3 linked regions of the Macaca mulatta genome follow. The protein of the gene in region 3 binds, or shares a complex with, the protein of the main gene of each other region. Links are inferred from orthologs where the notes say so. Each region holds a gene or a part of one and is shown on either strand. Other genes may lie near its edges.

The links.
Region 1: the proteins of CNNM2 (region 3) and ARL15 are in contact, whole or in part, in a crystal structure (PDB 8F6D), measured with the Homo sapiens proteins. The link is inferred for Macaca mulatta from reciprocal best matches to the Homo sapiens genes CNNM2 and ARL15. Residues at the interface, in NP_060119.3 of Homo sapiens: Asn490, Val492, Pro521, Leu522, His523, Phe524, Val525, Phe526, Thr529, Glu537, Lys542, Ser543, Gln549; in NP_061960.1 of Homo sapiens: Tyr92, Ser94, Arg95, Gln98, Gln128, His129, Pro130, Gln131, Cys133.
Region 2: the proteins of CNNM2 (region 3) and protein tyrosine phosphatase type IVA 1 are in contact, whole or in part, in a crystal structure (PDB 5MMZ), measured with the Mus musculus proteins. The link is inferred for Macaca mulatta from reciprocal best matches to the Homo sapiens genes CNNM2 and PTP4A1. Residues at the interface, in NP_291047.2 of Mus musculus: Phe526, Asp528, Val551, Asn553, Glu556, Gly557, Asp558, Pro559, Phe560, Tyr561; in NP_035330.1 of Mus musculus: Asp72, Gly73, Ala74, Gly107, Leu108, Gly109, Arg110, Arg137, Arg138, Gly139, Ala140, Phe141, Asn142, Lys144, Gln145.

The regions. Positions count from the first base shown.
Region 1 is NC_133411.1:62,119,821-62,124,044, forward strand, and holds the start of ARL15 (ADP-ribosylation factor-like protein 15), read right to left. Parts: upstream 2,862-4,224; 5' UTR 2,775-2,861; coding exon 2,727-2,774; intron 1-2,726.
Region 2 is NC_133414.1:120,656,873-120,659,840, forward strand, and holds protein tyrosine phosphatase type IVA 1, read left to right. Parts: upstream 1-1,512; 5' UTR 1,513-1,857; coding exon 1,858-2,379; 3' UTR 2,380-2,420; downstream 2,421-2,968. UniProt on the Homo sapiens protein: Protein tyrosine phosphatase which stimulates progression from G1 into S phase during mitosis. May play a role in the development and maintenance of differentiating epithelial tissues.
Region 3 is NC_133414.1:115,196,036-115,199,686, reverse strand, and holds part of CNNM2 (metal transporter CNNM2), read right to left. Parts: intron 1,483-3,651; coding exon 1,345-1,482; intron 1,143-1,344; exon of another isoform or gene 1,078-1,142; intron 1-1,077.

The sequences.
Region 1 (4,224 bases), on a different chromosome or scaffold from region 3:
CACCTTTCTCTCCCCTCTTCCTTTCCACTCTCCTCCAAATAAAAAGGTTAAGTGATGACATCCAGCCCAAAGAACAACGAACAATACATACACACACAGAGCTCTCTCTTCCAGTTTCCAACAGGAACAACACAAGACTGTCAAATACTGCTGAAAAAACCATTATTCTTGTCAAGTGCATGGAAAGGGAACTTACTCTAATCCATTCAGCAAAGTCTGGAGTCAAACTTGGAATGAAAGATGCATTTTTTTTTTTTTTTCCTGCAAGGTAAGTAAAAGAACTCAGGAATTTTTTTCAATAAGATACCAGATGCAAATAAATTATTATTCCTCAGAAATAAGGCTTTTAATAAACACCACACAGAGTATGCATAAGCAAGCAAATCAATCCGAAAGACAGGAAGAGAAGAATAATGTGTGGCACATCATTTTCTCTCAAAGTCGATAAGCAAAAGTGAACACAAAAAGGCCATCTCGGGAGGGCTAATTTTTTGTTTTGAGATGGTTTTTCTGTTTGTTTCCATCCAGTTTAATGCTAAAGAATTTTCTTAAATCTTTTCACAGGGGACACTTAGCACACTCACAAAAACTAAACTGTTTCCTTTAAGATTTCTTTTCTCACCTCCAAAGAGTAGCCAGTGGCTTTTATGGGGTTGGTCACTGCACTTGTGAATTTTAGACGGATAAAGTGGCAAAATAATGATTTTTTTAAAATATAAAAGTAAAACTAAGATGTATGGCAGGTAAAACTTTCTAAAAAGCCAAGTCAAATTTGGGGCCTGCTGATTTTGACACAAAGCTGTTAGTAAATTGGCAAAGAAATGAATCTGCTTTTAGGGTAACCTTGAGCCCAGGGAAAATAAAAAAGCCAAGTCAAAGTTGTGACCTGTTGATTTGACACAAAGCTGTTAGTAAATTGGCAAATAAATTAATCTGCTTTTAAGGTAACCTTGAGGCCACAAACATTCATCCACTCACCTTAAGACTATGCCTATCTAGAGGTTAGCCTGAGTAATTAACCAGAGTTATCAATTTTGTTTTCACTAATCATTTTGATAGGTTTGACACCTCAAAGACGGCTTTGTGATGCAATTTATAAATTTAAAACACATCCAGTAAATAAAGAAAATAGTAAAATGTCAGAACCACCTGATTTTCTTTTTTAAGAACTATTTAAGTATTCAAAATTAGCTTTTAGTAGTACAGAATGTCACCCTTTCCTACTTGGTAATTATCCCAACAAAGTTTGGCTTTAATTTACGCAGACTGCAAGACAAAAACCATGTATTGTAATATATAAGATAAGTTACAAATTAAATCTGTTATTTAACTTAGAAAACAATCTTCTGGACACTTTGGCAGCTCTCTTAACTTACAGGGCACCTTGTATTGTGAAGAGTGTTCATAATCAGACAACCCCCTTAACCAGCTACAGTACTGAGTGAATAATATCCCTTTATCACAAAGATAAAGGAAGTTACTGCCATCAACAAATGAACAACAAAACAGAACTTGAACTCAGAATTTTAGATTCAGCTCCATTCACAAGGCCATGCATTAACTGCAATCACCATCCTTTCCCACCAAGACCATCAAGCTCTGAAGCATTAGGAGAAACATTTTCTTTATGGACACTAAAATAAGCCCAATACACAGATGACAGTACAAAGCCGGTCCGGCGTTTCTTGGCCATCAAAGCATGCACAGACTTTCTCTGTACAGCCTTAAGTGTAATTCCTAGAAGGCACTGGCAAATCTCTGCCAGGCAGAGACTCTGCAGTCGAAAACCGAGTGCATGTGCTCAAGATGACAGGAGGGTCAATGTTTCTAACCGTCTACTTCAACTCTGCATGGCAATAGCGGTTCTGCCCAACATGGTAAACAAAGTAATCATATAGGATCGAACACAGTCCCTGTAAATGAGGATCCCCTTAAACGCAAACAAGCAGCTCTGGGGAAACATAATTTCCGCTCGCATAATTCCACTAAGACACACACAGAAGTCCATTTTTAAAATGATGTTCGGTCCCAGCACTGTGCTGACACTTTTCCCACCTAAACTTCTCAGCACAAGCCTGGCCTAAACAGCCGGGTTCCAGTCCGTGCACAGTGGAACAGCAGCACGCACCCAAGACCGGAATGGTGGGGCAATACCTGTCCCTACTCAGTCCTGTTCGGACCAGCCTGCGAGGTAGTTTAGAACCGTCTGCTTTATGGTAATGTGCTTTTAAAACCCCGCCACGACCGAGGTCATAGCTTTAGAGATTTAATAACAATCAAATGACCAGGGCTGCTGGGCACTTAGTGAGCCATTCTGGTTATGGCTCTTTAATAGCACCTGGAGTTCTGCTCCAGGGAGAGCGGAAAACTCCCGCTCCCCCGGAAAGAAAGTCCTCTGCGGAGAGCGCAGAGGGAAGCCAGGAAACCGATCGCGGGCAGGGGACGCGCCGCCGCGGCCGCCCCATCTCTCAAGCAGCCCCAGCGCGACCCTCGCCCCGCAGCCGTGCTGGCCCAGGCCGCACCTTTACCTGTCAGCTCCACCACCCGCCGCCCTGGAGGCTGCCCCTCCGAGTCCAGGGCACGGCTTCCGAGCCGGCTGCGGGAGAAAGAACCCCAGAGGCATCCTATCCCAAAGAAAGAAAGCAAAAAGGCTGCTCCTCAAGGCAGGGGGCCATCGGGCACGCCGAGATCCGAGAGGCGACATGCCACCCCTGCCATGCACCTACCAGATAATCCATGTACAGAAACGCCTCAGTTATCCGGAGATCAGACATCCGGCAGCCTAAAGCATCCGGAACGGCTTCGAACCCGGAAAAAAAAGCAGCGTCTCTGGCTGCGAACAAGCAGCTGCTGAAAAAGCCAGCAACAGCGAAAATAGCCGAAAGCAGCCGACTAGCCGGAGATTACACAAGGGGCGCGGCGATTGGCCAGGCGGGAGGGCAGAAGGAAAGAGGCGCGCTCATTGGCTGCGGCGCCTATAAAAGGCAGGCCCCAGTCGGTGGTGAGAGAGAAACGCGGGAGCGGCGGGGGGTGTGGGTTTGTGTGCGGTGAGCGGAGGAGCCGGGGTTGGGGCGGTGCGGCTGGGGTGGGGGTGGTGCAAGCGGAAGAAAGAGCCAAGAGAGCGGAAAAGCGACTGGTGCTGTCGCCGCCCGAGTTTTGTGTTTCTACAGCTTCCCAGTTGGGTACAGCGAAGCTGAACTCCGTGTTCCCGGGCTGGAGAGCCTTGGTGTCCCCGCCTACCCCCAGTAGGAAGCGAGCGCTGTAACGTGGGAGGCGTGGTCGCCACTGATCATCTCTCTCCCCAGAGAGCCTTCCTAAAGGCTTTGCCGCCACGAGACGGCACCACCGGGAAAGAAGTGTGTGGAAGTGTACCCCGTAAACAGGCAGTCCTGTACGCGACTTAGGGGCAGAAAGACCCTCCGCACTTTTATCATTTGAAACTAAGGCGGACGATTCCAGCCTGGTGTCCCTGAGTACACACAGGCCCCCGCGCGCAGCCAGAGTTGACTGAGGAACCCATCTTCGAACCCCTGCGTAGAATGCCAAACAGTCCTAGGATAATTCGCTTTCCTCCACGTGAAAAGGAAAAGAAAAACATGTGAGGACTCGCAGTAGTCACTTGTACTCCCCAAACACACGGGAAGAAGTGATCAGTTTGCATGCTTGGAGTGAAATTACACTCAGCACAAATCCAACGCCCCCGAGTCAAATGAGCAATAGAATCTCTGCAAAAAAAAAAAAAAAAAAAAAAAAAAAAAAAAAAAAAAAAAAAACACACAAGTAACAATATTTGTGACCCGATATTATTTCAAGAGGTAAAAACATCTGTAAGATGCATTTGGGACTTGTGCATTTCCTGGTAATGTCAACATCGCATTAAGCTAGTGGGGTTAGGCAGGGAAAGCCTGAATCGGACAAGAAACTGGCTTTTTCTTTTCTTTTCTTTTCTTTTTTTTGTTTTTTGAGGCTATAAATAACTAGACCATGCCAGACACAGCTATGTACTTAGGCTCAGGTGATTGGAGTGCCCCCCCATTCCCACCCTCAGGGCTTAGGGAGAATGGAAGATAAGGTGGATGCTCTCACCTGTATTAATAGTTAGGGTTTGCATATATACAGTGAAATTTCAAGAGTGAAACTTCATCAACTGAACTCTTTATGAAGTGACTGCCTGACTGTACACATGTTTTAGGAGTTGAATTTTTACTTTCCCCCTAACTTGAC
Region 2 (2,968 bases), about 5.5 Mb from region 3:
CGGCGACCTCCCCTCGGCCTCCCAGGGGCTGCCTCCGCCTCTTCCCGCTGCCTACTCTGCGCCCCCTCAGCCGCGGGTCCCCCCCGCTGAGTCGGCGCACCCTGCCCGCGGGGGCGGTCGACCCCGGACTCCTGGAGGGTCGATGTATCCGAGTTGGGAAGGGGCTTTACTCTGCCATCTCATTCCCAATGACTGGACACCTCTACCTGGCTTTTAACTCGTGCTCCGTGTTCTGGCCTGTGGGAAACCCTACAAAGGAAGACCTCAAAAACAATGTTGGATCCTTTGGGCACATATACACACAACATGCTCAAAAGATGATCTAAGACAACAATTATCACACTCTATGATCGATGAGGTTCCAGCTGGTTAGTGGTGAAATCGGGTTGGAAACCAGTCTGATACCTGATTATTTTACACTATTTCTCTTAACTTATAATAGGAGCATGTATTGCAGCTATTTTGAATTTGAATAGCAATTTATTTGAGGAAATAATTCTTCAAACTAATTAAGAATGCTATGCTAGTTTATGCTAAAGGAAAAATATCCATATTCTCCTTCAAAAGTTTTCCATTTTTTGGAGACATTATTTTAGAGTACAGCATAGTCTCTCTTCCTTTAATGCTTCTGTATTCATTCAGGTAAATACTACCCTCAGTTTTCTTCCTTCTCATTTTTAGGTTTTTCCCTTCCTTGATGGTTACATGACTTTAGTACAAATATATGTCTCACAAATTAGAACAGTGACTTATTGGCTCACAAAATGCTGCACCTTGTGATACCATTTGATAAAATATCTTTTATTTTAGATTGTTTTTATAAAGAAACGAGAGAAAACTAGAGGAAGAGCAAAGATGCTGGTTCTTTTCACACGCTACCCAGGGAATGATGGTACTGTCCTTTAAAATATTGCCACGCATCAACAAATTCTGGAATAGGCCTGAAACCAATCATTGTATCTCTGCTTAAATTCCAAACTACAGTGGCTTAAGAAGAGCGCTTAAGTTCTCCTATTTATAAATATTTGACTAAGATCCTTTAATCAATTTACAAGGAAGTTGTAAAAGGTAAAACCACTTTATGAACAGCCTGAAAATAAAACATTATTTTCATGCATTATATAACTCGTCTCATCACAGTGTTAAATAGGTTCTGCATTTTTTTCTAAATTAGTAAATGTCACAGGTGCTCTGAAAGATAGGCAGGAAGAAGGAATTACCTGCATTCTTATAAAAAAAAAAATAAAATACAGGTCTGGTGCCCCTGCCGCCTCCTGCAACGCCGCCACCGCCGCTCCGCCATGACCACCGCTGCCTCCTGCCCTGCAGCCGCCACCACCGCCTGTGTTGACGCCGCCTCGGGACTGGTTGTATGATTAGGCCACAATCTTCAATGAGTAAACATATTGCTCAATGCTGTGGTGTTCTTGGTCACACATTTATGGAGTTTCTGAAGGGCAGTGGAGATTACTGCCAGGCACAGCACGACCTCTATGCAGACAAGTGAACTGTAGAAACTGATTAATACTCCATCAAGAAGCCCACATAAGACTGGTTATCCTGGACACAGAAGTGTTGAATTGAAATCCACAGAGCATTTTACAAGAGTTCTGACCTGGATGGGGTAAACCTCAGTGCACTTCTTTTCTGGTGGCCTCAGTATTACTGGATTAAAGAATTGCTGCTGCTTGTTAGGAGGTTCATTTCATTTATCATTACTTACAACTTCATACTCAAGCACTGAGAATTTCAGTGGAGTATATTGAAGTAGACTTCAGTTTCTTTGCATCATTTCTGTATTCCAATTTTTAAAAAATTATTTCATAACCCTATTGAGTGTTTTTTAACTAAATTAACATGGCTGGAATGAACCGCCCAGCTCCTGTGGAAGTCACATACAAGAACATAAGATTTCTTATTACACACAATCCAACCAATGTGACCTTAAACAAATTTATAGAGGAACTTAAGAAGTATGGAGTTACCACAATAGTAAGAGTATGTGAAGCAACTTATGACATCACTCTTGTGGAGAAAGAAGGTATCCATGTTCTTGATTGGCCTTTTGATGATGGTGCACCACCATCCAACCAGATTGTTGATGACTGGTTAAGCCTTGTAAAAATTAAGTTTCGTGAAGAACCTGGTTGTTGTATTGCTGTTCACTGTGTGGCAGGCCTTGAGAGAGCTCCAGGACTTGTTGCCCTAGCATTAATTGAAGGTGGAATGAAATATGAAGATGCAGTACAATTCATAAAACAAAAGCAGCATGGAGCTTTTAACAGCAAGCAACTTTTGTATTTGGAGAAGTATCGTCCTAAAATGCGGCTGTGTTTCAAAGATTCCAATGGTCATAGAAACAACTGTTGCATTCAATAAAATTGGGGTGCCTAGTGCTATTGGAAGTGGAACTTGAGATAGAGCCTAATTTGTTATACATATTAGCCAACATGTTGGCTTAGTGAGTAAGTCTAGTGTAGCTTCCATAGGAGTATTGAAAGGCAGTTTTACCAGGCCACAAGCTAGACAGATTTGGCAAACTCTGTATTTGGGTTACAGTCAACCTATTTGGATACTTGGCAAAAGATTCTCGCTGTCAGCATATAAAATGTGCTTGTCATTTGTATCAGTTGACCTTTCCCAAAATCATGCAGTATTGAGTTATGACTTGTTTCTATTCCCATGCCAGAATCTTATCAATACATAAGAAATTGAGGAAGATTAGGTGCCAAAATACCCAGCACAATACTTGTATATTTTTAGTACCATACAGAACTAAAATCCCAGGAACTATGAACACTCTAGACCTTATGTGGTTTATTCCTTCAATCATTTCAAACATTGAAAATAGGGCTTACATGGTTATTTGCTCACTTGATGTTTACATCTCCCACACTCATACCAGTATACATCAGGTTTGCCTAACCATTGATTTTTTTTTTTTACCAAGTCTTACAGTGATTATTTA
Region 3 (3,651 bases):
TTTAGTTTTAATTTGTGATTCTTAAATGATGAGGAACAGTATTATCAAAACTAGAAAAAGAATAATAAGTGAAAGACATTGTCTGTTATTTTCTAATTATGTATTTATGAAAGCTGTAAGTTCTGTATTAACTTGACTTTTTTGTAATAAGACAGTCATTATAGGAATTTTAGAAAATACAGAAAAAGAAGAAAGTAAAAATTATCTATAAGCCAACCACTCAGATTACCATTCTGAGCAATTGAGTGAGAATTTCTTTCCAGTGCCATGCCTAGGCACGTGTGCTCATGTATCCATGTGTGTACACACAAAAACACAACTCTAATCTTAAAGTACACATAGTTTTAGATTGTTTCTCCTCACTTTGTATTAAGTTATGAATATTTTCTAATGTGATAAATATTATATTGAGCATTTCCAGGCTTCTGAGAACGCGACCTTAAAGAGTTACACAGCATTCCGTCAGGTGGTTACGGCTAGCCTTCTTTTAAACATGGTTTAAGTCTACTGCATGCAGATGAAAGGCACTGGCTGCCTATCAGGGACACTGATGTCTTCTAAAGCCAATGGATGCTTTAGACTTTCTCACACTTCCCCTGGCCACCAGAGCTCAACCCTGGAGAGCATCTGGGGATGGGAGAAGGGTTGGTCAGTATCTTAAGTTCATTCAACGTTGACCTCTCTGGAGCAGTCAGTGCCGGCTGGGTTGGTGGTTTAAACAACATGAACACTTGCCTCCTGAAATGGACTCGAGTTAATCTGATCTGAGGAGGCCATCAAGAAATCCATATCAAAGTTCTTAGAATTTGATTTCATTAAAACCATAAAAGATAAAGATTTAATTGTGAAAACCTAGTTTTCTTCTTTGCAAATCATAGCCCCTGTGTTACCACTGATGTCCAACTGTGCTTCCAGGACAAGCTGAAGAGAGACTGGACTCAATTGTCCATCAAACAAGCTGGTGCCAGGCTGGCACCATCAGCCTGCTCCGCCAGCTGGCTCTCCCACAGACCTAGCTGGAAGGAGATGGCCTGGCCTACTGTTCACATGCAGTGTGGCACTAACATTCATCCTTACCTTTCAGACCAATTTTAAGTTACTGGTCCACCCCTGGTAAATGTCTCAGAGGGTTCATGCCGACACTGAACATAGGAGAGGAGAGAATTTAAAAAGAAAAAAACAAAACAAAACAAAAAAACAAAAAAACAAAAAACAAAACACAAAAGTGGCATTACTTATCACCCCATTTCCCAGTGTCCACCCCCAGCCCACCCCAGTCAGTGGTGGGTGAGAAACACACTCCAGGGTTGGTAGAGATCTCAAACTGTGATAAGCTGCACTTGCCTGTTGCTAGGAAACGGTGCATGGCCAGGAGGAGCTGTGGTGATATTTTAACCTTCATCTCGCTGTCTGTCTGCTTAAAGGCAGAAAAATCTTGCTTTCGTTCCCGGTGAGCTACTTTCTTTTTTGTTCTGTTGTCAGCTAAGGGAGGAATGAAAAGAGAAAAAAAAAAAAATAAGAAAATGCATCCCATGAGATCAGGGCTCTTTCTGAATGAAAAAGACAAAATATATTGGAAGGGCTGGACTGTATTTCCAGATGCAGGCGCTCTAGGCATAGATGCCACAGGGAAGGAGGAAGGGAGGGCCAGATCCTCATCAACTCAGCACAGCAGCCTGGGCACCACGCAGTCCGCAGTGAGTGACCACAGGCAGCCTGATGAGTGAAGGTACTTCAGGAAGGTCTGCAGAGGGCCCTTGTGAGCATAGCATCAGGCAAATGCTGACAGAGCCTCTCACAGGACCCACAGAAGCATATAGCAACAGGGCGTGCAGCCTGGAGTGCACAGTCCACTGCTGCTCAATGTCACCATACTCCAGCAAAGGACCACCACTGTGTACACACAAGGGAGGAGTGTCCCTACCTGTAAGAGGCCCCTCACCTCTGCTGAAAGACAACACACAAATGAAACCCCCTTAAGAAACAAACAAGAATGCTTTCACAGAGCAGTGTTTTAATATCTGTTTGCTTCACTGCTACTCCAGACCATGAGATCCTCAAGGTCAAGCAGATGCGAATGGGATCCGGACAGTGGTCCGTGAACTTCCTCTGAAAAGGTCCAGGGAGTCAATATTTTAGGCTCTGCGGGTCTACACAGTCTCCACACTGCTGTTTAGAAAGATGAAGGAGCATGGCTGTTTTCCAATCAAACTTTATGAACACTGCAATTTGAATTGCATACAATTTTTGCACGTCACAAAGTAATTGTTTTTTTTTTTCTTTTCTTTTTTCTTTTCTTGAGATAGGTTCTTGCTTTATTGCCCAGGCTGGAGTGCAGCAGCACAATTGCAGCTCACAGCAGCCTCATCTCCAAGGCTCAAGTGATCCTCTCACCTCTGCCTCCCAAGTAGCTGGGACTGCAGGTGTTTGCCACCATGCCCAGCTAATTTTTAAATTTTTTGTAGAGACAGAGTCTCACTATGTTGCCCAGGCTGGTATTGAACTCCTGGGTTCAAGCAATCCTCCTGCCTCAGCCTCCCAAAGTGCTAGGATTACAGACATAAGCCACCATGCTGGCCATTTTGCAACAATTTTAAGATGTGAAAAGACATTCTTAGCTTGCAGGTCACACAGAAGCAGAGTACAGGCACTCATCGGCTGTGGTTTGCCAGCTCCTGACCTAGAAGGTACCTCCTGCAAAACCATCTTTTAAGTACTTTTCTGGACAAAGTAATGATCAAGAAAAAAAGAGCTTAAAGACAAGACCCCAATCGCTTGCTCCTTCCCAATAACTGACTCACTGCATTATTGTTTCTTGCATGGAGCAAAACAGATTGATTACTAGGCTTTTCCTGAGAAGGCGATCACAACTTCTACTTTTCGTCTGCCTCAATTCTTTTGAGAACTAGACAGCAGAAATCAATACAGAATTTAAAAATAATTCTAATGGCAACAGCTGTCACTCCCAATCTCTATCCAGATCAAGAATATACCTGAAATTGGCCAGGCACGGTGACTCACGCCTATAATCCCAGCACTTATGGGAGGCCGAGGCAGGTGGATCACTTGAGGTCAGGAGTTTGACACCAGTCTCCCCAGTATGATGAAACCCTGTCTCTACTAAAAATATAAAAATCAGCCAGCTACTCAGGAGGCTGAGGCTGGAGACTCGCTTGAACCCGGGAGGTGGAGGTTGCAGTGAGGTGAGATCGCGCCACTGTACACTCCAGCCTGGGCAATAGAGTAAGACTTAGTATCAAAAAAAAAAAAGAAAAGAAATACGTGAAATCACAAGTCCAGCATCTTGAGCCAGTAGGTAACATTAGGCAACACTTCTGTAGGAAATCAGTCCAATCAAGGCTTAAAAGAAGTTAAACTAACATTTGTATAAAACTGAAGTGCAAATACAGGATCTCCTAAATGGTACATCGCCTTTCTAATGTTAAGTATCACCCCTGGGTAAAAAGAAATACAGAGACACACTTTTTTTTTTTGAGACAGAATCTTGCTCTGTCACCAGGCTGGAGTGCAGTGGTGTGACCTCTACTCGCTGCAACCTCTGCCTCCAGGGTTCAAGTGATTCTCCTGCCTCAGCCTCCCGAGCAGCTGGGACTACAGGTGCACACCACCACGCCCAGCTAATTTTTGTAT